Mus musculus: one gene and its partner. The protein of the gene in region 1 purifies or fractionates together with the protein of each later gene. This does not show direct contact. Links are inferred from orthologs where the notes say so. Each region holds a gene or a part of one and is shown on either strand. Other genes may lie near its edges.

The links.
Region 2: the proteins of Polr2d (region 1) and Med26 purify together in Homo sapiens (affinity purification with mass spectrometry; 3 studies listed by BioGRID and IntAct, with this or other methods). This does not show direct contact. The link is inferred for Mus musculus from reciprocal best matches to the Homo sapiens genes POLR2D and MED26.

What each region holds. Positions count from the first base shown.
Region 1 is NC_000084.6:31,786,861-31,801,512, forward strand, and holds Polr2d (DNA-directed RNA polymerase II subunit RPB4), read left to right. Parts: upstream 1-2,264; 5' UTR 2,265-2,311; coding exon 2,312-2,384; intron 2,385-4,979; coding exon 4,980-5,160; intron 5,161-8,427; coding exon 8,428-8,523; intron 8,524-9,189; coding exon 9,190-9,268; 3' UTR 9,269-9,849; downstream 9,850-14,652. UniProt on the Homo sapiens protein: Core component of RNA polymerase II (Pol II), a DNA-dependent RNA polymerase which synthesizes mRNA precursors and many functional non-coding RNAs using the four ribonucleoside triphosphates as substrates.
Region 2 is NC_000074.6:72,538,288-72,554,491, forward strand, and holds the start of Med26 (mediator of RNA polymerase II transcription subunit 26), read right to left. Parts: upstream 10,024-16,204; 5' UTR 9,680-10,023; coding exon 9,608-9,679; intron 7,928-9,607; exon of another isoform or gene 7,789-7,927; intron 1-7,788. UniProt on the Homo sapiens protein: Component of the Mediator complex, a coactivator involved in the regulated transcription of nearly all RNA polymerase II-dependent genes.

The DNA of each region.
Region 1 (14,652 bases):
TTGACCTTCTCTTGGCATCTTCTCTGACTTTCTGTTAGATCATTTGTCGATATTGCTCTAGCTACTGTTGGTGAGCTCATTTGGAGGACAGAAGGACAGGAGGACAGACTTTTACCTAACTCATCATTTTAACCATATGGCCTAACAGATGGCTTATACTGGTTTCCTAAATAAAAATGTCATATACAGGCCAATCTGTGAAATGTAACTTTATGTTTTTCTTACTCTCTCTCTCTCTCTCTTTTTTTTTTTTTTTTTTGTTTTTTAGCCCAGGCTGTCCTGGAACTCATTTTGTAGACCATGCTGGCCTAAAACTCAGAAATCCACCTGCCTCTGCCTCCCAAGTGCTGGGATTAAAGGCATGCGCCACCACGCCTGGCTATTCTTCTTTTTTCTCTCTATGCCTGGTGACTTCTCTCCTCATCCCTCCCTCCTCCATCTTTTTCCCTATGTGTGTGTGTGTGTGTGTGTGTGTGTGTGTGTGTTTGTAGACTGAATCTCAAGCCCATTTCTACTACCTAGATGTAGTATGACATAAACTATTGTCCTGAATCTCTCTGCAGGAGTTCTGATAAGCAGAGCATATCGGTTATAAAGGTTTTGGGGTTTTTTTTTTTGTTTTTTGTTTTGCTTTGCTTTAAGATTTATTTATGTGTATGGGTATTTTGTCTACATGTATGTCTACACACTACAACCCCATGGGACTATAGTTATAGACCCTGTGAGACACCATGTGGAAGCTAGGAATTGAATCCATGACCTGTGTAAGAGCAGCTAATGCTGGGAGATCTCTCCAGTCCCTGTTGTGACTTCTCACATGCTGTTCAGGAAAGCATCATGAAATGGTTAAAAAGCCCCATCAATACTATATAACCATTTATTTTAATCAATGCATTCCTTCTACAAATACAGATACACAGCAGTTTTGTAAAACTCACTTTATTTACAAATCCAAAGACTACCTATTCTTGGGCCAGTGAGATCATGCAGCAGATAAAGGCCCTTGATATTCAATACTGATGACTTGATTTCTATCCCCAGAGCCCATGTCAAAGTGGAAACAGAGGACAAATTCCACAGAATCACCATCTAATCTTTTTGTGCACCACAGTATATTTGGCCCCACATAATAAAAATACATATTTTTGTCTTGTAATAAATACTTCTACTAGTTTTTTAAAATTTACTTTCTGTGTATGTGAAGATTGTGTATGGTGTGTGTGTGTGTGTGTGTGTGTCCTTCAAGAGAGACCAGAAAGTGCTTTAGATCCCGTGTAGCTGGAGTCACAGGTGTTTGTGAGCCATCTAGAATGGGTGCTGGAAAACGAACCCACGCCCTCTGAAAGCATCAAGTGTTAACCACAGAGCAGTCTCTCCAGCTCCTTCAATCCATTTTTTATTAAGTTAGCAGAATTTACTAGTATTCACTACTAAGCCAAGCACTATAGAGTTTCCAATAGCATCACTTCTTCATTTAGCTTCCTACTTGCTATTCAATGTCCACCAACAAGATGAGTTCTCAATATTAAGTTCACCTGCTCAGAATTGTCTTTTCAACAGGATGGTCTATAACCTAAGTTAGCATGGATTCAGGGAATTTGCTAAATAGCCACGCCTCTCTGTGAACATTTTTAAAGACAAGGCCTCACTATGTAACCTGGGCTTATCCTGAAACTATCATTTTGTAGACCAGGCTAGCCTTGAACTCAAAAAAGATCGGCCTACCTCTGCCTGCCTCAAGCATGCTGGAATTAAAACCGATCTCCTTCAACTCTTCATCCTCGCGCCCAGTGGTTTACTTCATGACCACCACACCCGGGTTATTTTTTTGCTTTTTGGTTTTTTAACATAATCAAATCATTGAAAGATATTTCAGTATGTTTCTGTAGTCACCTACCCAGCTTTTCATCACAGGCCATTCCTTGGATCAGGCACTTAGTTCACTCCTACACCTCACTTTCTTCTGAAATGGCTTACTTGACTCTGTGGCCTCATGGCAAGCGGGTGTTGCCGGAAACAAACAAACAAACAAACAAAAAAACCCACAATCTCCAAGCGGGCACTACAGAACCCCACCTCCAACGACCGGAAGCCGCTAGGACAGCACCCCGACCGCCCCCCTCGCGGGCAGCCTCGCGAGCTCCCCGCAGTGTAGACCCTGTCCGACCTGCCCTTCTCCGCCCTCTCCGCTTCCTTGGCCCCGCCCATTCACTTGGCCCCGCCTCCGAGCTGGATTGGTTCCTTTCCTTGTAGGAGCCCACCCTCGCGGCTTCCGTCTCCGGCGGTGGCTGTGGCGGCACGTCCTAAAGTAATGGCGGCGGGTGGAAGCGATCCTCGGGCTGGCGACGTAGAAGAAGACGCTTCCCAGCTTATCTTTCCCAAAGGTAGGATCCGGGACAGTTAGACTCTGAGGTGACATAGTCTTTGAGTTATAGTCCTTATCCGCTCCCTGCCCACAGGGAGCATTCGGGCCTGGCTCTGGCACGGCGCAGGCTAGCGAAGGGCTATGCACAGAGGGTTGATTGGTTAGCATGGCACAAATGACAATGAACCCTTGCGAGGTTTGGTTAATTCCACTACACCCAGCAGTTTTTTTGTTTGTTTGTTTGTTTGTTTTGTTTTTTTGCGGGTGTCTTATTAGGTATCCTAGGCTAGTCTCCACCGTATCACATTCCTGCCCCATCCTCTTAGAGCTTTAAAATGAAAGGCATGAACCATCACTCTTGATTTTTAGGGGGATTTAAGTTATGTCCTTTGCCTGTCATTCAAAAGACAGATCTGGAGCAGAGGTCTCATTTCCAAATTGGCAGCTAATAGAGGCTGAGTTGTGGTCCTCTCACAGTGCTGGTCAAAGCATTTCAAGAGCTGTGGCTCAGAAGTGGACCCTGCCCTGGCCTCTTTGGAGAAATGCTGTTGCTATTGCCGTTGGTTTCTGGACCCTCGTAGCTTTTCAAGTTAGGAAGAACGGATGGAAGCAAGATGGGTTCCCGTTTGGGATGTCTGGTACCTCCTTTTGCTGGATGTGTGCCAGCCTCTGGGCGTAGTGCTCTCTGTACCTGCTACTTGGAGCCTTCGGTAGGAGAATAAGTTTGACCCCAAAAGTTCAAGGCTAGTTTGGGTATTACAGTAAGACCCCCAAGATTCATGCTGTGCTGTTGTGAGTTTTGTTTTGAGACAGGGTCTCAAGTAGCCCGGACTGGCCTGGAACTAGATAGGAAGGCACCTTGGACTTCGCTTTCTCTACTGCCACAGAGCTAGGTTTACAGAGATGAACCACTCTGGCTTAGAGGCTGTTTTAAGGGTTGTAGCATTTGGTTGAGAATCACTGGTTTAGAGGGAAGAAAGGAAGGTGGAGTTGACGTAAGCATAGTCTCAGAAATGAAAGAGATAAGCCAGGTGGTGGTGGCCTTTAATTCCAGGGCTCTGGAGTCAGAGGCAGGCTGATCTCCATGAGTTTGAGGCCAACCTGGAATTAAAAAAAATCACAACAAACCTGGCGGTGGTGGCACATCCCTTTCATCCCAGCACCTGGGGCAGTTGCCAGGTGGATCTCTTTGAGTTCAAGGCCAGCATGGTCTACAGGAGTTCCAGGATAGCCAGAACTCCACAGAGAAACCCTATCTCAAAAAAAGCCAAAAACAAACAAAGAAAACTAATTGTGGGCATGAGCATGTGTGTGTAAGACCCAAGGTATCACAGTCCCTAGCGCCACGGTTATGGGCAGTTGTGAGCTATTTGAATTGGATGCAGGGAACTGAATTTGGGTTTTTGCCCTCTCAATTACAGTCGTTGTCGTCATCAGTGTCTCTCCCCACCCCTTCATTCTTTGAGACAGTCTCATGTAGCACTGGCTAGCCTCTTTCTCTGCCCCCAAGTTAAGGGATTACAGGCATATGCCCAATGTATGTGGTGCTGTGGATGGAATTTGTTGCTTTGTGCATACTGGGGAAACATTCTACCTACTAGCTACATTGCCAGCCCAGCTAGTGACATTTACTTATTTGTGTGTGTTTATTGTGTGGTGTGTGTGGGCATATGTTCTTGTGTAGGTGCTTATAGGGGTGTAGAGTTGGTGTTGAGTAACTTCCTTGATTCTTTTGCACTTACTGAGGCAAAACCTCTTGCTGAACCCAGAGTTCATCAGTTTGCCTAGTCTACCTAGTTTACCTTGCCCCAGGAAACCAATCCCCTGTCTCCTCCTACCAACTGCTGGATTATAGGAGCCCTCTATACGTATTGTATGGGTTCTGAGGACCCTAACTCTGCATCTCACACTGAAGTGGCAAGTACTTGATCCGTTTTATCACCTGCTCAGCCCCAGAAAGTGATGCTATCGTTTGCCTTTTGTGTCTTTTTTTTAATTGAGATGGAGAATCTCTTGTTTTAAAATTTTTATATGTACAGATTATTTTGCTTCCATGTATGTCTGCATGCATGTGTAGTGCCCATAGAAGCCATAAGTATATGTTGAATCCCCTGGAACTAATGATGGTGAACCACCTTGTTGGTGCTGGGAACAGAGCCCTTATCCTCTGGAAGATTAACCAATGTTGCTAGGGGCTGAGCTGTCTCTCTAGCCCTACATTACTGTTTTAAAATTAATTTTTTTTTAAATTGTCTGTGCAGGCACCTGAAGAGGCTAGCAGTACTGTGAGGTATCTGATGTGGGTGCTGGGAATTGCTTTCTAAGAGTAGTACATGCTCGTGTCTCCAGTCTTCTGGCTGTCCTGGAACTCACTTTGTAGACCAGGCTGGCCTTGAACTCAGAAATCCGCCTGCCTCTGCCTCCCAAGTGCTGGGATCAAAGGCATGCGCCACCACGCTTGGCTGGTGTTTGTTTTTTAATTTATATTTCTGGCCGTTCTGCAGCTCACTAATAATAGACCAGGCTGGCCTCAAAGACAGAGATCATCCTGGCTCTGCCTCCCAGATGCTGAGACTTTTAGGAGAGTATTTTCAGTTCACACTTCCTCTTGCAGAGTTTGAGACAGCGGAGACTCTGCTGAACTCGGAAGTCCACATGCTTCTGGAGCATCGAAAGCAGCAGAACGAGAGCGCGGAGGACGAGCAGGAGCTGTCGGAGGTCTTCATGAAAACCCTCAACTACACGGCCCGCTTCAGCCGGTTCAAAAACAGAGAGACCATTGCCAGTGTGCGCAGGTGAGTACTAAACAGACGTTCAAAACCAAAATCTACTTATGGATTGTGGGTGTTTTAGATGCTTGTATGTCTGTGCATCATGTGTGTACAATCCCCACAGAGGCCAGAACAGGGTGTGAGGTCCCCAGAACTGGAGTTACAGGCAGTTGTGAGGCACTGCGTAGGTGCTGGGACTCAGAACCCAGGTCCTCTCCGGCCCTACAAAACAGTTTTATTATTATAGACTCTCGTGAAAGATAGAGGCTGTAGGATCCAGGAGTCCAAGGTCATCCTTAGCTACATAGTAGGTTCAAAACCAGCCTTGACTACATGGTGCTCTGTTTTTAAAAATGCTGTTTTAAAACAAAATAGGGGCCAATGAAATGGCTCAATAAGTAAAACATGCTTTAGCCAGGAGGTGGTGGTACACTCCTTTAATCCAGCACTCAGGAGGCAGAGGCAAGCATATCTCTGAGTTTGATGCCCGCCTAGCCTATAGAACAAGTTCCAGGACAGTCAGGGCTACACAGATAAACTCTGTCTAGAAACAAATGCAAACAAACAGTGCTTTCTGTGTGTAAGCCTTATGACCCGAGCTTATAGAGAAACCCAGATGCACCCAGCAGCTCTGAGAATGAATTCCCAAAAGTTGCCTTCTAAGCGTGCATGCTTACACACATACACATACAAACACACAAATGGCTAAATAAACCACACACAAATACTGAAAAACACTCTAACTGGGTGGGGTACTGCATGCCTTTAATCCCAGAATTTGGTTGACAGACAGGAGAGTTTCTGTTTCAGTCCAGCCTGCTTTACATAGCAAGTTCCGGGACTACATAGATAGAACCTGTTATTTATTTATTTATTTATTTATTTTTGGTTTTTTTGAGACAGGATTTCTCTGTGTAGCCCTGGCTGTCCTGGAACTCACTTTGTAGACCAGGCTGGCCTCGAGCTCAGAAATCCGCCTGCCTCTGCCTTCACCACCGGGCTTGTTTTTATTTATTTATTTATTTATTTATTTTTTTGTTTTTGTTTTTTTTTAAAAAGTTGGGATGGCTCAGAGGTTAACAGCACTGTCTGCTCTTCCAGAGGTCCTGAGTTCAAATCCCAGCAACCACATGGTGGCTCACAACCATCTCTATTGAGATTACAGATGCCCTCTACGGGTGTGTCTGAGGACAGCTACAGTGTACTTATATATAATAAATAAATAAGTCTTAAAAAAAAGTAATCTGGAGCTTGAAGCCCGCCTTCCCCCCCAAAAAAATTTTTTTTGCCTATAACAAAAAAGGCTCTTAGCCTTGATTCAAAGTCAAATTTTTCTCCTTTGCATCACAACTTCTGGGGTCACTAGTATATGCCATCATGCACTCTCTACCCAGGTAGAATTTTTTTGTACCTATTTTTATTTTATATATATTGAGCAGTGTCTCACTAGCCCTGGCTGATCTAGAACTCTATATTAGACCAGGTTGTTTTCTGTCTCACAGAGAACCACCTCCTTTGAGATTAAAGGTGTCCAGCACCACACGTTTGTTTGTTTGTTTTTCTGTTTGTTTATTTTAGAAAAAATTATATTATCATCATTATTTTGTTTTTAAATATTTATTATTTTATGTATATGGGTACACTGTAGCTGAACAGATGGTTGTGAGCCATCATGTGGTTGTTGGGTACTGAATTTTTAGGACCTCTGCTTGCTCTGGTCAACCCCGCCCTCTCTGGTTGGCCCCGCTCACTTCGATCAACTCCACTTGCTCAGTCCTTGCTTGCTCTGGCCCAAAGATTTATTTATTATTATACATAAGTACACTGTAGCTGTTTTCAGATGCACTGGAAGAGGGCATCAGATCTCATTATGGATGGTTGTGGGACACTTTGTGGATTTGAATTCAGGGCCTTCGGAAGAGCAGTCAGTGCTCTTACCTGCTGAGCCATCTCACCAGCCTTATTATTATTATTAATCATTATTTATTATTATTATTACTATTACTACTTCTACTACTGAGACAGATTTGTATCTCTGTAGACCAGGCTGCCGTGAGCGTGTGCCATCAGGCACAGCAATTCTTTTTTTTTTTGTTTTCTTTTTTTAGTTTTTGGGGTTTTTTGGTTTTTTTTCAAGACAGGGTTTCTCTGTGTAGCCCTGGCTGTCCTGGAACTCACTCTGTAGACCAGGCTGGCCTTGAACTCAGAAATACACCTGCCTCTGCCTCCTAAGTGCTGGGATCAAAGGTGTGCGCCACCACGCCTGGCTAGCAATTCATTTTTTTTATGTTGTTTATATGTATATAGATGCTTTTCTATATGTGCACCATGTATATTCAATGCCAGCACTAGCAGAGGCCAGAGAGGAGTTGTAGACGTGTGGAGCCACCCAGTGTAGATGCTAGGAACCTCACTTGGGTCCTCTGAACATTAGCAGATGCTTTTCCTGCTGAGCCATCTCGCCAGTCCTCTAGAGTATATAAGTTTTTACTACATACATTTTGAAACCAAACTTATTCTAGTAAGCTTTATTAAATTATTCAATTTTTATTTTATGTGTACGAGTGTTTTACCTCTGTACCACACAAGTGCCCAGTATCACGGAGTCCAGAGTGAGTCCTTTGGATCTGGAATTTCAAACTGTTGTGAGCCATCGTGTGGGTACTGTGAACTCAACCTGTGACCTCTAAAAAGAGCATCACTTAACTCCCGAGTTCCCTCTCCAATGCAGCGTGTATATGCCGCCTTACCCTGCTGGGCTCTTTTCAGGGTTCTTGGCTCTGCCTGCTGTTTTTCATTTGTTTTTTTGTTTTTGTTTTTGTTTTGTTTTTTGTTTTTTTCTGGAACTTGTTGATTTTCTGGGGTAGGAACAGGAAGTGACTTCAAAGGAGGATTCTGATGCCCACATAACCATAATCAAATATTACAATCTCCTTTTTGCTATTGATGAATGATTAGCATTTGACCGACACTGAATGAGAACATAATTTTTTTTGTTTTTTGAGACAGGGTTTCTCTGCGTAGCCCTGGCCGTCCTGGAACTCACTTTGTAGACCAGGCTGGCCTCAAACTGAGAAATCCACCTGCCTCTGCCTCCCAAGTGCTGGGATTAAAGGCGTGCAATACCACGCCCGGCCTAATTTTTGTTTTTTATTAGCATATAACTACACATAGTAATGGGTCCCACTGTGACATTTTTATTCAAGTATATATTTTGATCATACTTATTTCCCCCCATTACTGCTCACTTCATCACAGTCTTTCTGTGTTTTTATTTTCCGCTACAATCAGCTTGCTTCTCCAGAAAAAGTTACATAAGTTTGAGTTGGCCTGTTTAGCCAATCTTTGCCCGGAGACTGCTGAAGAGTCCAAAGCTCTGATTCCAAGGTTAGTACCGGATGGGATAGATTTCTGTCTATTTTCTATAGATTTCTATAAGTCAAATTGCTAGAACTAAAAGTTGTATGCATTTAATATTTGGGTTAATGACATGGCAGCATTGAATAGGAATGTAGTTGAATGGTGTTTGAGATAGGATTTGGGGATTGGTTTTGTGGTTTGTTGGTGGTAGTCTCAGGTAACCAAGGCTTTCCTTGAACATCTTGATTGTCTTGCTTTCACCTGTCAAGGGCTGGGATTACAGGTGTAAATGGTCATGCTGGCTTAAGAATAGTTTGAGTTGCTGGGCAGTGGTGGCGCACGCCTTTAATCCCAGCACTCGGGAGGCAGAGGCAGGCGGATTTCTGAGTTTGAGGCCAGCCTGGTCTACAGAGTGAGTTCCAGGACAGCCAGCCAGGCTACACAGAGAAACCCTGTCTCGAAAAAAACAAAACAAAACAAAATTAAATTTACATCATGTGTGACTGTTGAAGCTTTTAAAAATCTTTTTTCTATTTACAACTTTTTAGTGCTTATATAAAGGAATGTCAAAAACCATTCAGTTTAAACTTCGAGGCAGTAGAGCTAAGCGAGCTGCTCGGAGATGAGCCTCCTTTGACAGACTGGGGAAACCTCCAGCGGCCAAGTCACTTACATTTCTTGGTTTTCTTACAGCCTGGAAGGGCGTTTTGAAGATGAGGAGCTGCAGCAGATTCTCGATGACATCCAGACGAAGCGCAGCTTCCAGTACTGATCCGCAGACGTCACTCTGCTCCTTGAGTTACAGCACCACGGTCTGAAGCCTGGGGAGGCCTCATGCAGGAACATTGCTTCAGAAGACGCTGGAGCTTCTTTCGTAGTTTTTGCTTCACTGCGAGAGAGTGTCTCTCCAGTTCTCAAAGTCATAACAGTCCTCCTGCCTCAGCCTCGCAGGTGCTGGGATTACAGGTGTGAGCCAACACTTTCAGCTTGGCTTCTGGAGAGGAAAGAAAGGCTGGCTATTGATGCTGTAGGTGCTATCTTCACAGTGACTGTTAGACCATAACTACCATCTGCGCTCCTTGCAGCCTTTTAAGGCTGCTGTGGTCAGGCAGGCTGCCATCCTGAACTGCTGAGGTAGAATGATGTTCAAACATTCGTTGACTACTTCGTACCGTGGTTTTTTTGGACCCCATGTTACTATTTTTTTGTTCTTGACACTTCAGATTTTAATGTCAATTATTTTGTAGTTTTTGAAGCTAAAATGATATATAAAAAACTTGCATAGGAGAGGAGTGTTTTCACTTGGTTGTAAAGGGGAGAAATAAACCAGAACACTGTTTTTTTTTAAAAGAATTGTATTTATTTGTTAATGGGGAGAGGGTACATGATCCATGGCACATGTGTGGGGGGCAGGAGTCAGTTCTGTCCAAAGTCTTGTACATACTAGAAAAGTGCTGTACCATTGAGCAACACTCTAGCCCAGAAGTTGCTTTTGTTTGTTTGTGTGTTGTACATATGTATGTGCAAGTGTGTGCATCTATGTAAGGAGACTAGCAGAGGACATTGGGTGTATACCCATATTTCTGTCCTTTGAAATGGGCTCTGTCTCACTGAACCTATATCTAGGCTGGATGACCAAAAGCCCCAACAATCCTGTCTTCACTTTCTCTTTTTGCTTGTACCTTGGGGTTCAAGGCATGTACAGTGGGAACACAGCAGTCTTTTCACTAACGGTAGTGCTAATGGACAGACTCAGGTCTTCATGCATAGCACATACCCTTATTCACTGAGCCAGTCCCCAGCCACCCTGCAATGTTTAAAGAGTGAGAGACAGTTGACTAAAAGAACTTTGCCACCACTCTGCCTGCCCTGGACACAGGATGGAAACTCACCATGGGGAGCACCGTCTAGGGTCCTTAGCCTTGTGGTAGACATACTTCATCTTAAGGGAAAGGAGGCTGTCTTGGAGAATGTATTTGAAGTGGCCTTAAAGAGTTCATATTGTCACCTTCAAATTAAGATAGGTCAGATTGGAAGACCTAAACACTAAAGACTCCTCATAAGGTAGATACCTAATCCAAACCTCTGATCCAATACTGAGTGACACGTATTCTGTTACCGAGGTGATATGGAAGGAGCGAGTGACTGTGCTCCTGTCTCAGTGCTAGAAATCAGGACCTCTGTGTCTTCTCATCTTAAATCCCAGCCTGTGGAGTTTGAAGTCAGCCTGCCAGGGCAGCCAAACATTCATACATACATACATACATATATACATACATACATACATACATAAGTCAGCCTGCCAGGGCAGCCATACATACATACATACATACATACATACATACATACATGCATACATACAAGGTTGAACTTCTACCTGACCCTACCAAACATTCCTCTCCCCCATCCTCCACCTCCTTTCTGGAGGGAAAGTAAGGGGAAATAGTAGAAAAAAATGCTTGAAAGGAGACAGCTCAAGAGTCGTGTGAGGGATTAACATTAAGGGATGCTAGCAGGCTGGATCTCAGGAAGTCCTGTCTCGGATCACGGGCTACTGTGATTCAAGATGGTGGTGCTTGTAGCCAGCTTGGAGGAAACAGCTACATGGCAGGAGAAAATGAAATAGACAAGCTAGGTGTTTCCGATTAATGATGGGGAGGGAGGAAGAGTTGAAATTGCCTAGTCAGACTGCTCTCTGGAGGCTGGAGGAGGGGATGAGGAGGCAGAAGACCCTGCTTCCCAAAAATGAAGATGTGATGGGCCCTAGGCAGGAGTGGCTACAGAGGAGATTCTGGGTCAGCATGGAACTATGGAGAGAGGAGCTGGAAGACGCCGTGAAGGGACAACCAGGGAGCTGAGCTGCAGAGAGCTTGTCTGTGCTTAGAAGAATGAAGCAAACACAGAAGGTCACTTTCGAAGTGCTGAGAAGAAATGGGGTCCAGTGGCTACTGGGAAGGCCAGCAGGGGCAGGGAAGAATGCAAGGGAGGTGCAGAGGGTGCCTGCATGTAGACAATTGATAGATTGAGCCCTTGTTAAACAAGTGTCACAAGGTCCCTTTATGTATCCGAGACACTTACTGGGCTATCCAGCCAAAGAATATATTTAGCTGGAATTAAGGGCATGAGCCACAACACCTGCCTGCGGGGTTTGGTTTGGTTTGGTTTGGTTTTGAGACAAGGCCTGTAATTAATAGTAATCTGCTTGCTTCCTGAGTGTTGGAATTATAAGAGAACATACCTGGCCAATCATTTCATAATCTTTATGGTGCTGATGCAATAATACAATCATTACCAGAAAGAGCTGTGATAGGAGAGATTATGAAATAGTCTTTCCCCTCTTTTTAAAAAGCATGGTCTCTGCTGGCCCTCTTTCTGACCCTCCTCCAACTTTAGACTCCTGAGATTATGCCACCATTCCTGGTTTTGGTTGGATACTGAAGATTGAAGCCAGTGCCTCTTGTGTGCTAGATAAATGTTCTGCCAGCTGAGCTACAGCCCCAGTCATGAAATAGCCATTTGTAAAGCTGTAATCTCAGTACTTGGGATGTAGGCACAAAATCAGGAGCTCAGCCATCCTCGGCTACATAGCAAATTAAAGGCAAGCCTGGGCTATGTGAGATCCTGTCTCAAATAAAAAACTGACCCCGGTGGGCGGGTAGCCTAGAAAACTATAGTGCTATGTATCTGAACCCGTAGTATGAGATGTCTAATAGAGGTAGCACTTGGAGAGCAGACGCAGGTGAATTTCTGAGAGTTCCAGGTGAGCCAGGGCTACAAAGTGAGACCCTGCCTTAAAAAGTATCCTCCTCTAAAAATAGAACAAAGTGGGGTGTACTGGCTAGTTTTGTGTCAACTTGACACAGGCTGGAGTTATCACAGAGAAAGGAGCTTCATTTGGGGAAATGTCTCCGTGAGATCCAGCTGCAAGGCATTTTCTCAAATAGTGATCAAGGGAGGAGGTCCCCTTGTGGGTGGCGCCATCTCTGGGTTGGTAGTCTTGGTTCTATAAGAGAGCAGGCTGAGCAAGCCAGGGGAAGCAAGCCAGTAAGTAACATCCCTCCATGGCCTCTGCATCAGCTCCTGCTTCCTGACCTGCTTGAGTTCCAGTCCTGACATCCTTTGGTGATTAACAGCAGTGTGGAAAGTGTAAACTGAATAAACCCTTTCCTCCCCAACTTGCTTCTTGGTGATGATGTTTTGTCCAGGAATAGAAACCCTGACTAAGACAGGGGTTAATGATTAGGATCTGGAATATGAGTGCTATAAGGATCCTGTGTCAGGCTTGGTTCCCATGTAGCAGTACAACCTGCCCAGAAGGGCTGGGCCCTTCCCTGTCAATCATTAATCATGAAAAGACCTCTACAGATTTGCCTGCAAGCCAATCTGATGGAGGCATTTTTTCCAGTGTTCCTTCTTCCTAGATGACTAATTTGTGTGAAGTTGACAAATTACCCCTTGTCTATTAGACATAAACTAATAACCTGAGTTGGAGAGATGGCTCAAGAATTAATACCAGCTGCTGCTTCCAGAGGATCTGGGTTTTTGATTCCCAGCACCCCACTCATGGCTAAACCATTTTAAACTCCAGTTTCAGGGGTCTCACACCCCTTCTGGTGTCTGTGGGCACTGCGTGCAAGTGGCACACAGACTTATGCAGGTAGAATACCCACATATAAAACAAAAATTCTTAAAGCCTTTAAAATTCCAGATTTTGGGATCCAGTGGCAAACTCACAGATCTCTGAGTTTGAGGCCAGGCTGTTCTACATAGTGAGTTCCAGGACAGCCAGGAATACATAGACCCTGTCTCAAAAAAACAAAACCAATACCTTAAAAATCGAATAGCTGAGCCGGGCGTGGTGGCGCACGCCTTTAATCCCAGCACTCGGGAGGCAGAGGCAGGTGGATTTCTGAGTCCAGCCTGGTCTACAAAGTGAGTTCCAGGACAGCCAGGGCTATAGAGAAACCCTGTCTTGAAAAACCAAAAAAAAAAAAAAAAAAAATCGAATAGCTGCTCATTTGTTATCCCAAGTGTCATGATCATATCACAATATAAATACAGTTCACTGTTGGGCATGGTGATGCATGCCTATAATCCCAGCTCTTGGGAGGCAGAGGCAGGCATATCTCTGTGAGTTCAAGGCCTGCCTGGACAAGGAAGCTCCAGGGCAGATAGGGCTCCAATAGGGTTTTGTCTGAAACAAACCATCCCCTTCCAAACCAGATAATAATAAAAAACAATAAGCCAAACCAAAGAAAAGTCGCTCAGTGGGGGCTGTAGAGAAGACTCACTAAAAGCACTCTTTGTTCATACAGAGAAGAGCGGGGTTAGAGAAATGGTACGGTGGGTGGCTAAGAGCGCTTGCTTGCTGTTCTTGTAAGTGCTGGGCCTGTATTAAATTCTCAGCACCTACATGGCAGTTCAGAGTACCTATAACTTAAGGTCCAGGGAATCTGGTGCTCTCTTCTGCTGCTCCTCAGACACCAGGCATGCCAGTGCTGTACATAAATTCATGCAGGTAAAACAGTTATACACATAAAAACTTATTTCTGGGCTGGTGAGATGGCTCAGTGGGTAAGAGCACCCGACTGCTCTTCCGAAGGTCAGGAGTTCAAATCCCAGCAACCACATGGTGGCTCACAACCATCCATAACGAGATCTGACTCCCTCTTCTGGAGTGTCTGAGGACAGCTACAGTGTACTTACATATAATAAAACAAAAAACAAAAAACTTATTTTGTGCTGGAGAGATAGCTCAGCTGTTAAGAGCACCAACTGCCCTACTGAAGGTCCCGAGTTCAATTCCTGGCAGCCAAACGGTGGCTCTCAGCCGTTTGGTGTGCTCATCTGGTGTGTGTCTGAAGATGACTACAGTGCACTCAAATGTGTAAAATAAAAACTTATTTCAAGAGGTAGGAACGGCACAGTTAAAATCCCCTTCCTGGGACTCACGCCCAGTCTGGATTGCAAAGGCCCGGCGAAGCTCCAACTCTACCTATACCTAAAGGTTACACCTCTACTAATTGCATCTCAGCCTCTTCAGGGACTGACCCTGCCACATGCACCAAGCCTCAACTTCTTTCCCTGAGCTCGTCAATACTCGTGGCTCCACTGTAACTGGCGAGGCTGCACCCTCACCAGTGGACTCCTGCCTTC
Region 2 (16,204 bases), on another chromosome or scaffold:
GAGGAGCTTGTAAACGGATAGAAAGGCAGAAAACAAGACCCTTAGTCAAAGGTGTGTGTGATGCCACTAGTTACAGAAAGTTAGAAGGCTAAGGAGGATCAATTGAGCTTAGACAGTCAAGGCTAGCCAAAATACACCAACCAGCAGGAACAGAGAGGCTCAGTGGTTAGGAACACTTGCTGCTCTTCTAGCGTTCTAAGTTAGAGACCAGCACCCATGTCAGATGAGTCACAACTGCCTGTAACCCTCTTGTATCCGTGTGTGTGTGTGTGTGTGTGTGTGTGTGTGTGAGAGAGAGAGAGAGAGAGAGAGAGAGAGCGCTTGTGAGAGAGCGAGCACACGCAAGCAAGCAGTTGGCATACTGGTCCACACCTTAATCCAAGCACAATGGATGCAGCCTAGTCTATATAATGAGTTCCAGGACAACCAGAGCTACAGTGAGACCTTGCCAATAAACAAACAAATAAATAAACAAATAAAATAAGGAAATACAAAAGCCAACAATGGAAACATGCTATGATCTTAGCAGGATTTTAAAAGATGTTACACAAGCCATAAGGATTTCACAAGGAAATTTTTCAAAAAAGGGAGAATAGGCTATGGGGATAAATGGGGCTCCTCACCAGAGGGAGTACCAAAGTTGATTCCCAGGTATCACATACAGGTGAGACCAGCTTTCTCATCTAAGAAGATTCTCAGCTGAAAACAAGAGCCACACCCAAACTTAAGAACTTTAAAAAAAAATGAAAAACCCAGCTACACTTAAAAATACACCAAGGCGCCGGGCGGTGGTGGCGCACGCCTTTAATCCCAGCACTTGGGAGGCAGAGACAGGCGGATTTCTGAGTTCGAGGCCAGCCTGGTCTACAAAGTGAGTTCCAGGACAGCCAGGACTACAGAGAAACCCTGTCTCGAAAAACCAAAAAAAAAAAAAAAAAAAAAAAAAAAAAAAAAAATACACCAAGGGAAGACTGGAAAGCTAAAATGAAAACTGGGTTCTTGCATCTAAAACAGTTTGGAACTCAGAGTTAAAGTGAAGGGGAGAGATGCCAGAAGCTCCAGGGACTCAAGTCCTGCTCCACCACAGCTCACATCACCTTACAGCTCCAACTCCAGGGGATCTGATGCCCTCTTCTGGCCTCCTCAGGCACTTGCACCAATGTGGCATACACCACTCTGACACATAAGAAATTTCTCTTAATATTTTTTTTCAAGCAAAAGGGGAAAGTTGCATGAAGAGGGAAGTGAACAGAATTGCAAACTAAACACTTCAGATCTCTAAGATGGAGCCTTTGAAATAGACCTCAGCTCTCAGAAGTACTGCAGTAGGAAAGTGGGCTGGGCAGCACTGAGCCCACTTGCTTTGGGGACACCTAGCACTGGTTTAAGACCCACAGATTGCTTAGTCTTTCCTGGCCCCTTAGTTGAAGACAAATGTCAACCTTCAGACTGAAAGAGCAAGCAAATGCTAATTGATGTGCATGGAAGCCAGTGTGCTCATCTAGTGGTACTGACCGGTTAACTGCTGCTGCCAACACAAGACATTACACCTACCTGAGCTCGAGAGAAATAATTTTTAAAAATATATTTATTTTGAGACTATGTTTGAGTATAACCCTGGTTGGCCTGGAATTCACTATGTAGACAAAGATGGCCTGGAACTCAGAGGTTGGTCTATCCCTGCCTCTCAAGCACTGGGATTAAAGGCACACTCCACCAAGGTCCACCAGAACTTTGATGGCCCTGGGCTTCCCTGGGCTCACAGGCTCTAGTGGTTGGATCTAGGAAAATGCTGAAGCTCCAGCAACTCAGAAGCTGGAACCACAGCTGCCTGGCAAGCCTGCATCCCCAGAGGGTACATCACCTCACCTGAAGTGACCCTTTCTTCAACAATCCATAGAGAACCAAGGAATATGGGCAGCTGACAACCCAAGACTTACAACCTAAGAAGAGTAGGGCTTTCTTCCAGGATTCCTGCCCTTCATCTATATCCACACAGTACCACACCATTTCAGATACAGTACTCACCTATCAAACCAGCTGCCTGGAAGGCTGAGGCAGCAGTTCCAGGCTAGCCCAGACAGAAAAGCAAGATGCCAACAACAACAACAACAACAACAACAACAACAACAAAAGAAAGAAAGAAAGAAAGAAAGAAAGAAAGAAAGAAAGAAAGAAAGAAAGAAAGAAAAATGCAATATTAACCTTAACCATATCAAAGCTCTCCAGGAGCTCTCTCCAAGAGCTTGAAATGTACAGAGACCAATCTTGGAGTCCATGAGATAAACTGTTCAGTGACTAACCAACCCAACTATTCCTTTCAAGTCTGTTCCCCTCGCAGCAGAAACAAACAAGAGCTAACCACCTGCACTTTCTATAAAGCATTTAATTCCAAACTTCCAGATGACAGAGTATTCCAGAGAGCCATTTCATGCTCTCAAGAATTCTATCTTGGACCAGATGATGGTGGCACACACACTTAATTTGAACACTTCAGAGGCAGAGGCGGGTAGATCACTGTGAGCTTCAAAGCCAGCCTGATCTACAGAGCAAGTGTTCAGGACTATACAGAGACCCTGTCTCAAAAAAAACAAAACAAAACAAAACAAACAAACAAACAAAAAAACAAACCAGGTGTGGCGGCGTATACCTTTAATCCCAACACTCGAGAGGCAGAGGCAGGTGGATTTCTGAGTTTGAGGCCAGCCTAGTCTACAAATTGAGTTCCAGGACAGCCAGGGCTATACAGAGAAACCCTGTCTCAAAAAACCAAAAACCAAAAACCAAAACAAAACAAAAACCAGGCAGTGGTGATGCCCACCTTTAATTTCAGCACTTGGGAGGCAGAGGCAGGCGGATTTCTGAGTTCGAGGCCAGCCTGGTCTACAGAGTGAGTTCCAGGAGTGCCAGGGCTACACAGAGAAACCCTGTCTTGAAAACAACAAACCAACAAAACAAAACAGAATGTCTTTGTCAGGGTTTCTATTCCTGCACAAACATCATGACCAAGAAGCAAGTTGGAGAGGAAAGGGTTTATTCAGCTTACATTTCCACATTGCTGTTCATCACTGAAAGAAGTCAGGACTGGAACTCAAGCAGGTCAGGAAGCAGGAGCTGATGCAGAGGCCACGGAGGGATATTCTTTACTGGCTTGCTTCTCCTGGCTTGCTCAGCCTGCTCTCTTATAGAACCCAAGACTACCAGCCCAGAGATGGTCCCACCCACAAGGGGCCTTTCCCCCTTGATCACTAATTGAGAAAATGCCTTACAGTTGGATCTCATGGAGGCATTTCCCCAACTGAAGCTCCTTTCTCTGTGATAACTCCAGCTGTGTCAAGTTGACACAAAACTATCCAGTACACAGAACAAAACAGAATTCAAACTTGGACTAGAGAGATGGCTCCAAGGTTAAGAGCTCTCGTGGTCCTTACACAGGACCTAAGTTTAGTTCCTAGAACCCACATGGTGGGCCACAACCCTCTATAAGCACATGTATGATGCACAAACACATACGCAGGCAAAATACTCATCCATATAAAGTCATCTTTTAAAATATACTTTTTTAATAAAAGAAAAAGTCTAGCCAGGTGATTAGTGGTGCACTCCTTTAATCTCAGCACTCAGAAGGCAGAGACAGATCTGGAACTCTGTGAGTTCCAGAATAGCCAGGGCTACATAGAGAAAGAAACTGTCTCAAAAAAAAATTTTGGGATTTGGGAGGGGGCGGCTAGAAAGATGACTCAGAGGTTAAGAGCACTAGCTGCTCTTCCTGAGGTCCAGAGTTCAATTCCTAGCAACCACATGGTGGTTCACAACCATCTATAATGTGATCTGATGCCCTCTTTGGCATGCAGATAGAACATTTATATACATAAAATAAATTAATCTTTGAAAAAAAATGTTTGGAGGCTGGGGAGATGGCTCAGCAGATAAGAGAGCTTACAGCTCTCAAAGAGGACCCAAATTTGATTCCCAGTACCAGCATCAGGATACCACTCTAAGATACCTGTTGCCCTGTTCTGGTGTTCTGGCTCCCCAGGCACCTGCACACATGTGGCAAACACACACACACACACACACACACACACACACACACACACACGACTTTAAAAAAATTCTTTTTTTTTTAAAAAGAATTCTTTGTTTGGAAAGATGGCACAGTGAGTAGAGCACTGTGATACAAGCCTAGCAATCCGAATTTGATCCTCTGGAACCACATAAACATTAAGGGAGAAAACGAACTCCACAAAATTGTCCTCTGATCTTCACAGTTATGCCATCACTTGCAGTTTTCTACCATCAGGCACATAAGCATGTACAAACATACACACACTTTTAAAAGAATCCTCCTTTCAAAGGCAAAGTGTCCTATTTGGGCTCAAGAGTTGCAGCTGAAAGGCCAGACTACACCTCTGACATTCACATACAACACAGCATTCTGGCCTCCTTGGCGGCCACACATCTTCAAAGGCAGGTACTGGGTGCACAAGTCTGCCTACCACCCCAAGTACTATCAGCACTACAGAGAAATGGCTAGTCAACTACTCAGCCACAACTCATAAAGTTTTACCACAACTCATGAAGATGCAACTGCATGGGCTCTCAGACCTGAGACTGGAAGGAAGCTTAGACAGCACAGGTTCACTTCATTCAGGAAATGAGCCCCACTTCATAAGACCCTACACTAGGGAATACTTGTGCCCTGAGAATGAAAGGAGTGCAGACTTAGCAAGGCCACCAGAGAACACACTGCCTGCTTGCTGCTTAATGAACCTCAAACTCAGCTGCCCATTCTCACAACCAACTACAGAGCCAGGCTCAGGACAGCACACTCCCAGGAAATGAAAAGGAGCAGCCCTCAGAAGCGGCTTCAGAAGGAGTCTGTCATGAGAAGCAGAAAGCCTTCCAGCAAACTCAGGCTGGGGTCAGTTTGGGTTCAAGTACTACTGAGGATTGCAGGAGTAGGATACCCCTTCATCCAGCTCTGATCCTGGCACCTTGAGATGTCTGTCTGCCACAACCAGAAACATCATTAATCAAGGGATAATACATGCTCCATCTGACCAGTAACAGGGTCTCTACATAGCCTTGGCTGTCCTGGAACTCAAGCAATCCACCTGCTTCTGCCTCCTGAGTGCTAGGATAAAGGCTACTTACTACAAGCCTCTTTTAGATTTATGTCCAGGACAAAAGTCCCCTCCTACAGACTAGTGTTGGGACGGTTCTCCAGGTCTCAAGAACAAACCCCCAGCTTTGAGGACCATCTAAAAATTCACCGAAGACAAAGTCTACCTTCCTCAGGGAGACAAAACATCAAACAAAACCTGACTCCCAAGTTAGAACTGCCACTCTGCTCTTCTCCTGAACTGTGGTCACAGCAGAGAACAACAGGGACATCACTGTACAGGACCTAGCAGTGCTAACATGTATCCTCTTTCTGACAGGATCAGTGGCATTTTAAGTTAGTGTTAAAAGAGCTGTCACCTTTCAGCAGAAAGCAAAGCTGGAACACAAGACACAGGCAAAGTTCCACACCCATTGTCACAGAGACAGAGCCCCTGCAATGCTAACAGGTAACTCTCACCCAGTTCTGATCACATAGGACTAGCAGGCCAAGCCTTCCCTACTCAGGTAGAGTGTGTATCAGCTCATGACACCCTTCCACAAGGCTGAAACCACTAGCATTATGTCCTAGCCTAGCCACAGCTGACACCACTAGCATTATGCTGTCTGCATAAAGGGGGCTAGCTTCATCCCACCTTCCTTTATGGGGCTACTGGGAAGAACAGAACACACTGTCAGGGTACCTCAAAAATTAATTAGGGTTGTACATCTCTCCTTATTAACCAGGGGTGTAGATAGCTGAAAAAGTTCACACAATCCACCCTGCATGAATTCCTGAAGCAAGTAAATAGAAGAAGCCCTTCCAGAACAGTTCGTGTAGGCCACTGCAGCACTTCCAGGTCTGAATCCGGGTCTGAATCCGGGTCTGAATCCGGGTCTGGAAGGTATGCTTCCAGGACGGGCCACCACTTCCTTTGCTGCAAGGAACTTGCAAGCCAGCAGAGGCAAGTGATTCCAAGTAGGAAATGATGGCCATGGTGCCTGCTTCTGGAAGAGTGAGAGGAAGACAGCAGCTCCTGAGATCTGCTCCAGAGTCCAGCAGTGGTTGAGTCCTCCTTCACCAAGCCTTCTTCCGTCCTCCCACTGCTTTGCAACCAGGGCTACAAAGCTGCCTTTGGCAAACTCCATCTTGGACCACCACTTCACTATTTAGCTTTTCATGGGACTGTGTATAGTCTTTCCACTTTTTTGAAAAATGAAATCTGTTAACTTTAAGGTTACATTCACATTCCCCACAGACACATCTCAAGCCACCTGTGATTTTCTCAGTCACCAATGCTCCCATTAGGCCATTCCACAGCTGGCCTTCAGGACTGGAGCACAGGGCTTCTTGAGAAAATGGGGGCGTGGAGGCAACTCCTGAATCACAGGCCCAAGAGTTGAAACAAAATGCAAAAAGGGAGGACTCTTCTCTAGGAAAGAGGTCAAGACATGGAACATGTATGAGAAGCTGATCTCTCAGGAAAACATGGTCCAGACTTTCTTCAAACAGCAAGGGCACCACAGGACTAAAAACTCTATCACTGGCTAAAGGGGAACTCAGTATGATTTCTGTGCAAGTGTAAGTCATACCCTTCACCTTTATTCATACGACTACAAGCAGATGTACAGTATACGTCAGAGACTGTCAACACCCTAAGCAAACACACATTGAGGTGAGTGAAGCTTCCACAGTTCTGGAAGTCTATTAGCTGCCTTTTGGAAGGGAGATGGGGACTTTCTGAAGTACAGGCCTGGCAGGTCAGTGCTTGCTGCTGCTGAGGCTAGAGCAGGGATGGCTATCTTACTGAGACCTCCTTGGTCAAGGAGCTGGTCAGTCAGAGGCTGTGGACTTTAGGTCAGCTACCTGGCACTGATTTTTTTTTTAAGCCAACAGCTAAATTTGTTAGCCATAATTGCACACTCATAAAGGTAAGCATTACATGACACCATTCTCTGTCACTTCTCTCTGAAGAGGGTTAATTTTAGTGTTCACTCTTCAACTCTGTCCTCGTTTTGTATTTTTTCCATGAACATCCTAAATATGTGTCAATTAGCAAGTGGTGGAGCTTATAACTGGGCAGAGCAAAGCACAGATCCCTGCACAAACATGCAGCTCTTACCTGGGCCCTGAGCAATCACGGAAACAGTGCAAATGTCCAGGGACCCTTCAATACCACAGCAAGAAATGGAGGACAGTGCTCCAGGCTGATTCTACAAAGAGATTCTGCAAAGCCAGCCCCTGGCACATATACCTAGTTGTTTTTGTGGGTGGTCACTGACAGTGCATTTTGGGAAACACTTCCCTCCTCACTCAGAGACAAGTTCTCAACTCCATCCACCACAATAAGGTCTCCCTTTGAGATATACACTCCAAGCAACTTACCCACAGGCCAAAGAGCATAGTAATACTTATGACCAAGGGAAAATTCAAGAAACTAATGTTTGGGCCAGGCATGGTGGCATATACCTTTAATTCCAGCATTTGGGAGGTAGAAGCAGACAGATTCTCTGTGAGACTACACTGGTTTACATACATAGTGACTTCCAGTGACTGTCTCAGAAAAAAACAAAACAAAAACCTAAAATTTGGGCTGTCTACCTTCCTTCTTTTACCCACAAAGGGTCTTCTAGTCAGACCTTACCTAACACTTGGACCCACCTGATCTATAGCATCATGATTACCTGTCAAAGCGCTTGCTGGTCCCAACACTCTCACATACAAGCAGTCAGGATCTCTGATAAGATCTCAAGCAAAGGAGTTACACAGGAGTTAAAATTTCCACTGTGGAAGAGATGAGCAGTGGTGGTGCAATCGTTTAATCTGGAAGAAGAGGCAGGAGAATCTCTGAGGCCAACCTAGTCTAAAGAGCAAGTTCAAGGATAGTCAAAGCTACATAGAAGAGGAATCCTTCTTGAAAAACAACATCAAAAAATTATACTGTGTACACTATGGCTTCAGCAAAGATGCAAAAGCCATCAAGGCTATGTTTTCCTATCTCTTGTTTTTACCTTTTAATATCCTAATATATCAATCATGTGATTACAGTCAGTAATACCAATCACTGGCAAACAAAACAACAACAAAAAACCCAACAAAACCTTAAACCAAAAAAAGAAAAAAGAAAAAAATTTAAAAAGGCTTTCTAGAAGATTTTTATCTAGCCTGTCCCTATTCTACCTCGAGAAAATGTCTACAGTATTTACTAAATTACTATCAAGGTGATCTTAAAGACCAAGAAGAAAATAATTTTGGATCCAGCAAGCAGATCTCATAGAAACTAGAGCACCTCTATTTCTACCAAGACCACACAAACAATGTGAATTATTCTGAACACACCACAATACAGTGTACATTGTACATTGCTAAGAGTAACTGGTCAAGCATAGTCAAGGGAACTCAAAAGACTCAAACCTCGGTTACCTGTCCAAGCCCAAGATGATTTTTCTTCCATCCCGAGCATATTAAAAAGTGATCTCAAAGGCCACTTCCTGGTCTCCCAGCAAACACCTCATATCTGAATGCCTGTGCATCTTCCCATGGCCCTGCTCCTAACAGCAACAAGGATACCCGCCCCCTACACTGCCAACAAACCTTTGGGAAAAATACAAGAACAGGTGAAATTAGTCTATGCTCACACAGGAAGAAAAAGATGTCCCTCTGCTCACAGGACTCTTAGCAGAGGAAAGTGTGACATAAAGTAACCCCTTACAATTAAATCTTGACAGGCTAGGGCCCAAAGCACCTCAGGAGGGGCAAGAGAGAGATGGAAAGAGGACCGGAAGGTAGGAATAAGAGAACAATCAACTATGACGGGCAGTAACTCAGTACCAAAATCCCATGCTTTAGCTTCTGGTCAGATGCGCAATGGAGCATTTAGGCCAAGAAAGATGACAGGAAGGATCCCACTCTCTGCAGGGTCGTCTTTTCTAGAAAGACCCCAGGAAAGGTTTGTCCACTATCAGAAAAAAGAGGAGACTCTCCAGGCATCACAGGTAGACAGACTGGGGGCAGAACGGGCCTAGGGTTCCCTCCTAGCCAAGAAGGAGGTTCAGCCAGGAGACCGAAGGGGAGTAAAGGCCAAGACTCCGGAGACGCGGGCTACTCTAGTCATCGCGGAGACACTAGTTGCTTCCCACCTTGCCCCCGGCAGGGAGACCTTCCCGGGGGGTTCTCAGTTCCCAGGGTTGAGGTGAGGCAAGGAGGCACGGTGGGGACCACCAAGGGCGGTCGGGCTGGGACAACGGAGAAGAACTAGCTCTGATCAAAGCTCCAAACGCTCCCTCAGTCCAGGCCGCGTGAAGCCTCGGCCTCAGGTACCCTCAGCTGCCGGGCAATCCGCCTTGCCTGCGGTCCCCGGACCCAGGAGAAAGAGAGACCGAGATGGCAGTGGCTGTGGCGGGCAGATCACCGCCTGGAGAGAGCCCCTAGCCGGGGGCGCGTCGGAGGGGGAGGGTCTCGACACATGCGGCCTCGGTCCCCGATCGCGAGGCAGTCACTTACGTTGCTCTGGGAGTCGATGGCCTGTAGCAGCCGGTCCCTCATCTGCTGCGGAGACGCCGGAGCCGCTGTCATTGCCTGGGCGAAGCGGGGGGGAGCGGCCGGGCCGGCGGGCGGGCAGGCTGAGGAGGGGGAACGCGGGTCAGTCACTCGCCGGCCTCCGGGAACGGAGCCGCATGTTCCCCGCGGCGCCGGAGGAGGTCAAGGCGCTCGGGGAGATGGCGAGGACGGAGGGAAGCGGAGGGGACCGGAGCTCAGGCCCCGGACCACCGCCGCCACCGCCGAGCGAGGAGGAGGAGCCGACGGAGGAGCCTCCGCCACCACCGCCGCCGCCGCCTCGAGAACCAAACTCCAGTGAGCTGCCCCCCGCGCTGAGCACTCTGGGTAACCCGCGCCGCACGCAGCGTCGGCGCCACGCTGAGGAGGTTGGGAGATGGGGCGGGTGGAGACGCCGGGTTTGGGAGGGTCCGGCTCGTGAGCCCCTCCTATTGATTGTGCGCACGCGCGCGCAGGCGCAATTAGCAGGTCCTGCCGCCTGGTTCCGAGGTCCGACACAGAGGGCCGTTGGGAGGCAGTTGGGCGTGGCAACGGACGCTATCTGAAGGCCACGCCCACTCGGGACTGGAGGGATGGGCTTCCTAACGGAAGCGCACCCTTCAAGTCCTGGAACACCGACTCTATCTTCTGACTGCTTTGGGGTTGCGGAATGGAAAGACCCTCCCCCGGATGAGGGCCTCCTGCGTTTAGAAACCAGAGGATTGGAGCGGCCATAGGTAATCTGAGGAAGGCAGCGGTTCCCTGCGTTTAGACTCGTGCCTCGAGGAGCTCGGAGGAGCTCCGCACAGCCTTCTCCGCTGCAGAGGCCCCAGGCGCGGGTCTGCAGGGCAGTGCGTGTCCCCATGTGACCCGCGTGCTGCGGGGACCTAAGGTCACGTCTGGGAGCTGCCACCTCTGCAGAGGACGCAAGTCTGCAAGGCCTGCGCGACGCTGACACCTCGGGTCTGCATCCGTGCGGGGCTGGAACTCAAGAGGAAGCACCGCTTTTGTCGCCTTCCTAGAGGCGGGGGGGGGGCGGGGGGGGCTGGAGGTGGCCAGCCTGTGTCTGAACAGCAGGATGCGGAACCGTCGCCCAGCATCTTCCCCTTGGCGTTCCGAGGGGACGGAGCGACCCCGCCTTTGCATCTCAGGTGATGGAAAACAGGAACGCCTCACGGGGGAGGAAGGGAAGCACCAAGGTCACCTGGAGTTTTAAGTCAAACCAAGAAACGAAGGAAGTCAAGTATAAAGGCTGCGGTCCTCCGTCCTTCGGTGACCCCTACAACTGGACAGATGGAGGGCGGGCTCCGAGTTTAGTGCACTATACGAAAGTGGCCTCGGGAGAAATAACTTCGTGTAGTGTTGTAACCTTAAAAATCCAGACATGAAACGGAAGGGAAACAGGTAATGAAAACCACATGTACTTCTGAGAGCTGCTCAACACCTGTTAATTTTAAATTTGTCATACTTCGGGGGGGGGGTACTGGGGGAGGTGAGGAACCAGGCATTTAATTCCAACGCTTGGGAGGCAGGAGGCTCACTGGAGTTCCAGGCCAGCTTGGTCTGCACAGTGAGTTCCAGATTAGCAAGGACTACGTAAGTAAGACCCTGCCCTTTTCTCCCACCCACCCAGAAAATAAATTTATCATGGCTGGTTTCTTGATTCTGCACATGACAGAAGGCTTTGCATTACACCAATAGAATGAACACGAACAAATACTTCTCAAATACACTCTCTTCCTGGCATGTGTTTGGAGCTCAGGTTCCAAGTTGGAAAGCAGCCCATTTTGAAGATACACTTAATCTCACCAGATAAGCAAAATAAACAAGGTCCTCCATCAACATTGGCTCTTAGTTTGGTGTTTTTTGGCAGAGTTTATGAAGCCTGAGCTGGTCTCAAACATTTTATTCCTTCCAGTGTCTCCTGGTGCATTACATTTATGCCAATCTTCTGTCTTTTATTATTATCTAATAGTTGATTTTTATTTTTCTCCCCTTATACAGGCTCTCACTACAAAGCCCTGGCTGGCCTGGATCTCACTATGCAATTCTGACTAGTTTGAAACTCACTGTGGAGACCAGGCTAGCCTCAAACTCACAGATATCCGCCTGAGTTCTGCTGCCCAAGAGCTGGAATTAAGTGCATCATCCTACCCTGCAGACCTGCTATCTTGTTTATTCAGTGGTATAGTATGCCTTTTTTTTTTTTTTCAAAACAAGCTATAAATTAAGCAGGCAATTAGTTTTGCATGGATCAAGTCATGAAAACATCTTGGACAGCATTCAATGTACCTGCTGACCTTGCTATTTTAGATTCCTCCCCAGGTTTTGAGACCACATGTAGCCTAGGCTGGCCTTGAACCTTTTTCTTTTCTTTATTTTTTATTTTATTTGCCTGGTATGGTGGTACTCAAGGGGAGGCAGGAGGATCTCCGTGAATCCAGTCTAGTTTACATAGTGAGTTCCAGGATAGACAGCCATATGTAGAGAGACCCTGTCTCTAAATTTGATATTAATGTTTTGCCTGTAGTATATATGCACCTATATGTGCCTGGTGTCTACAGAGGCCAGAAGTAGTTGTCAGATCCCTAGAACTAGAATTACATGGAGTTGTGAGTACATACTGCGAATTGAATCCTGGTCCTTCTTTGAGAACAGTGCTCTTAACTGCTGCATTGTCTCACAGGCCTGGCCTTGAGCTCTTCATGTTGCCTCCACCTCCTCAAGCGCTAGAATTATAGGGCATGTACCACCCACCATCATACCTGGTGCTTCTGATTGCATTTTCTATGCCTAGCCTTTAATCTCAGCACTCAAAGAGGTAGAAACAGGAGGATCTCTTGAGTTCAAGGTCATCATATAGGTATGGGGAATTGAACTCTGGACGAGCAGCAAGCATTCATAATGGCTGAGCCATCTCTCCAACCCATTTTCTTGTTTTGTTTTTTCAAGAAAGGGTTTCTTGGGCTGGTGAGATGGCTCAGTGGGTAAGAGCACCTGACTGCTCTTCCAAAGGTCCAGAGTTCAAATCCCAGCAACCACATGGTGGTTCACAATCATTCGTAATGAGATCTGACTCCCTCTTCTGGAGTGTCTGAAGACAGCTACAGTGTACTTACATATAATAAATAAATTAATTTAAAAAAAAAAAGGGTTTCTTTGTGTAGTTCTGGCTGGCTGACCTGAAACTCATTTTATAGACCAGGCCGACCTCAAACTCATAGAGATCCACCTTCCTCTGCCTTCAGAGTGCATGACTACAATATTGTGGAGTCCTATGCACACAACTTTATTCTACTTGTTCATTTACCTAAGTTTGATTGTTTGTGTGTGTGTGTGTGTGTATATATATATATATATATATAACTGTTTGTGTTGTACAGAGGACCACTGCCAAGAGTTAGTTCTCTTCTACCATCCTGGGGATCATCTTAGGCTTGGCTGGGTTAGTGGCTATACCTGCTAAGCAATCTGGCCACTCTGGTTTTTCCTTTTTTGAGACGGGGTCTCCCTCTGTATCCCAGGCTAGGCTTGAACTTCTAATCTTCCTGCGTGAGACCCAAGTGTAGTCCTGTTTAAAAGTGACACCAGGGGCTGGAAAGATGTCTCAGTAGTTAAGAGCACTGACTGCTCTTCCAGAGGTCCTGAGTTCAATTCCCAGCAACCACATGTTGGCTCACAACTATCTGATGCCCTCTTCTGGTGTGTCTGAAGACAGCAACAGTGTACTCACATACACAAAATAAATAAATCTTTAAAAAAAAAAAGTGACACTAGCTGGATCTGGTAACTCACTCCTATGATTCCAACAGTCAGAAAATGGAGGCAAGAGCCGGGCGTGGTGGCTCATGCCTTTAATCCCAGCACTTGGGAGGCAGAGGCAGGTGGATTTCTGAGTTCGAGGCTAGCCTGGTCTACAAAGTGATTTTCAGGACAGCCAGGGCTATACAGAGAAACCCTGTCTCGAAAAACCAAAAACAAACAAAAAAACCCCAACAAAAACCACGTAAATACTGTAAGAAGATGCTTTCGTTTTAATCAGAGGTGTGGGATTGCTTCAGATTATGCGTCAGGTGTTGTGTTTCAGATTGTCCACAGCAGCTAAGTCTGATTTGCCTCACTCTCTAGAAGAAGCATGATTTGCCAGCTACAGATGGTTTCTGCGTTTGTGTGGTATTTTGAATTCTGGGGGCTTTTCAGAGGGTGTATAAATGCTAGGACCCCAAGAAGGGTAGGTTGTTGGTTGGTAGGTTGGTGCTTTTTGGTTGCTGTTGGTTGTGGTTTGTTAAGTAGTTGTATGTAAAGAAGAAGAAATTAGATATCCTGACCGTGAAGATCAAACTTGCCCCTAATCAGCAGGAAGTGGTGACATAGTCTTCCACAAAGACAGCCTCCTTAGCCTACCCAAACAGCATCAGGATCAGGGACCAATGCTCAAACATCTTTTAGGAAGCCATTGTCATTCAAATCACCACATTCCATTTGACTACATAGACTCATAGCCTTACCAAACTGCAAAATATTTCAGATCAAAAGTTCCCCTAGTCTTTCACAGTCTCAACACTGCTTAAAAGCCCATAGATGCTTCTAAGACTCAAAACAATTTCTTAATTGTAATCTCCTGCAAAATCAAAAGGCAAATTATACAATTGTTACATACAATGGCACAGAATACATATTACCTTTCCAAAAGGAGGATTGGGTGCTTGGTGAAAAATTACTAAAAGACCAAAAGCTACCAGGGCGAACTCTAAAGCCTGTATGTAGCTCTGTGTCTGATGTCAGAGGGCTGAGATGGCTCTGTGTCCAGCCTTGCTGCCTGCAACACATCTCTCTGTCAGGATGGTTCCACTTCCTGTGTGCACACTCCTTGCCAGACAACTCATGAATCTGGCATCTCCAATATCTTGGGGTTTTCAGTGCAACCCCAGACTTCACTTTCACAGCTTCACACAGTGGCTTCTTAAGGACTTCCAACTGGGATTCCCCTGCCATAGGCTACCTTTGCCTTGCAGAAAGAAAGCTTAGCTGGGTGGAGTCCTGCTCTGAGGGCATCATTCTCTTTGTTCCCTTAGGCAGAGCAAGCCTGTCTTTACTGATGCTGATCTCAAGTGTAATACTAAGCCTCCAGGGTATTTTCCCACAATTCAGTATATACCTGTCATGTTTCGTTCTGCCCCATTGCCCCTTTTCATAAGCATTTGCATAAGCATTGGCAACCATAACCACAGACTCAACATATGTTTGGAATTCCTTCCACCAAAGAAATAAGACCACTGCTTTTAAATTTAATCTCAGGCAAGTTCTCCAGACAAGGCAGAAGGCTACCACATCCTCTGCCAAAACAGTTCAGGGACGGCTCCTGCCCAGTTACTAATGCTGTTCCCTCTGAAACCTCTTGAGCTGGGCCTTTACAGTCCACATTGCTCGCTCTCAGGATGACTGTCTTCCAGGCTCCTACTGCGACTAAGATGATCTGTATACTTTCTTACAGGGGTCAACTGCTATCTTTAGTCCAAAATTCCTAAGTCTTCCATGTCCTTCCAAAAAACATGGTTAAGTCTGTTAGAGCTACAGCCCACTCTATAATACCAACTTCTTTTTTGTGGTTGTTTTGTTTTTTCAAGACAGGGTTTCTCTTTGTAGCCATGACTGTCCTGGAATTTGTTCTATAGACCAGGCTGGCCTCAAACTCAGAGATCTCAGAGAGCTGCCTGCCTCTGCCTCCCTCTCAAGTACTGGGATTAAAAGCATGCACTGCCACCACCAACCTCCTAGTTACTTTTCTGTTGCTATGATAAAACAACATGACTAAGCCATGTGGTGTGTGGCACATGATGTTAATCACAACACTCAGTAGGCAAGCAGACTAATGAGTTCAAGGCCAGCCTGGTCTACAGAGCAAGTTGCAAGACAGCTGGAACTGGGTTCTCTAGGGTCACAGGGCTTATGGAATGAATACATATATAAAGGGAATTTATTGGAATGACTTAGAGTCTGCATTCTAGCTAGTCCAACAGTAGCTAGCTGTGGATGGAAAGTCTAAGAATCAAGTTGTTATACAGTCCCACACGGCCGGATATTTCATCTGGTCTTCTGTATCTGCTGGAATCATGGAGAAGTAGGCTTCAATGTTAGTAAAGGAATTGATGCGCTAATAAGGCAAGAGCAAGCAGGCAAAGAGCAAAAGCTTCCTTCTGTGTCCCTATATGAGCTTCCAGCAGAAGGTATAGCCCATGTTAAAGGTGTGTCTTCTCCCTTCAAAGGTCCAGACTAGAAGTGGATTCATCTACTTTAAACCAAGCAGAATATCTTTCATAGGTGTGCCTTCCATTTCTGATGTCATGTTGACAACCAAGAATAGCCATCACAACTAAGACTACATGGAGAAACCCTGTCTCAATAGACTAGACCAAACAACAACAACAACAAAAAAACCCAAAACAAAACAAAAACAACAAAAAAAAAAAAACAAAAAAATTCCACCAAGACTAAAAGTGACTTCTGGAAGGAAGAGTTTTTGTCTCAGATGCTACTTCCTCCAATGAGGCCACACCCTCTAAA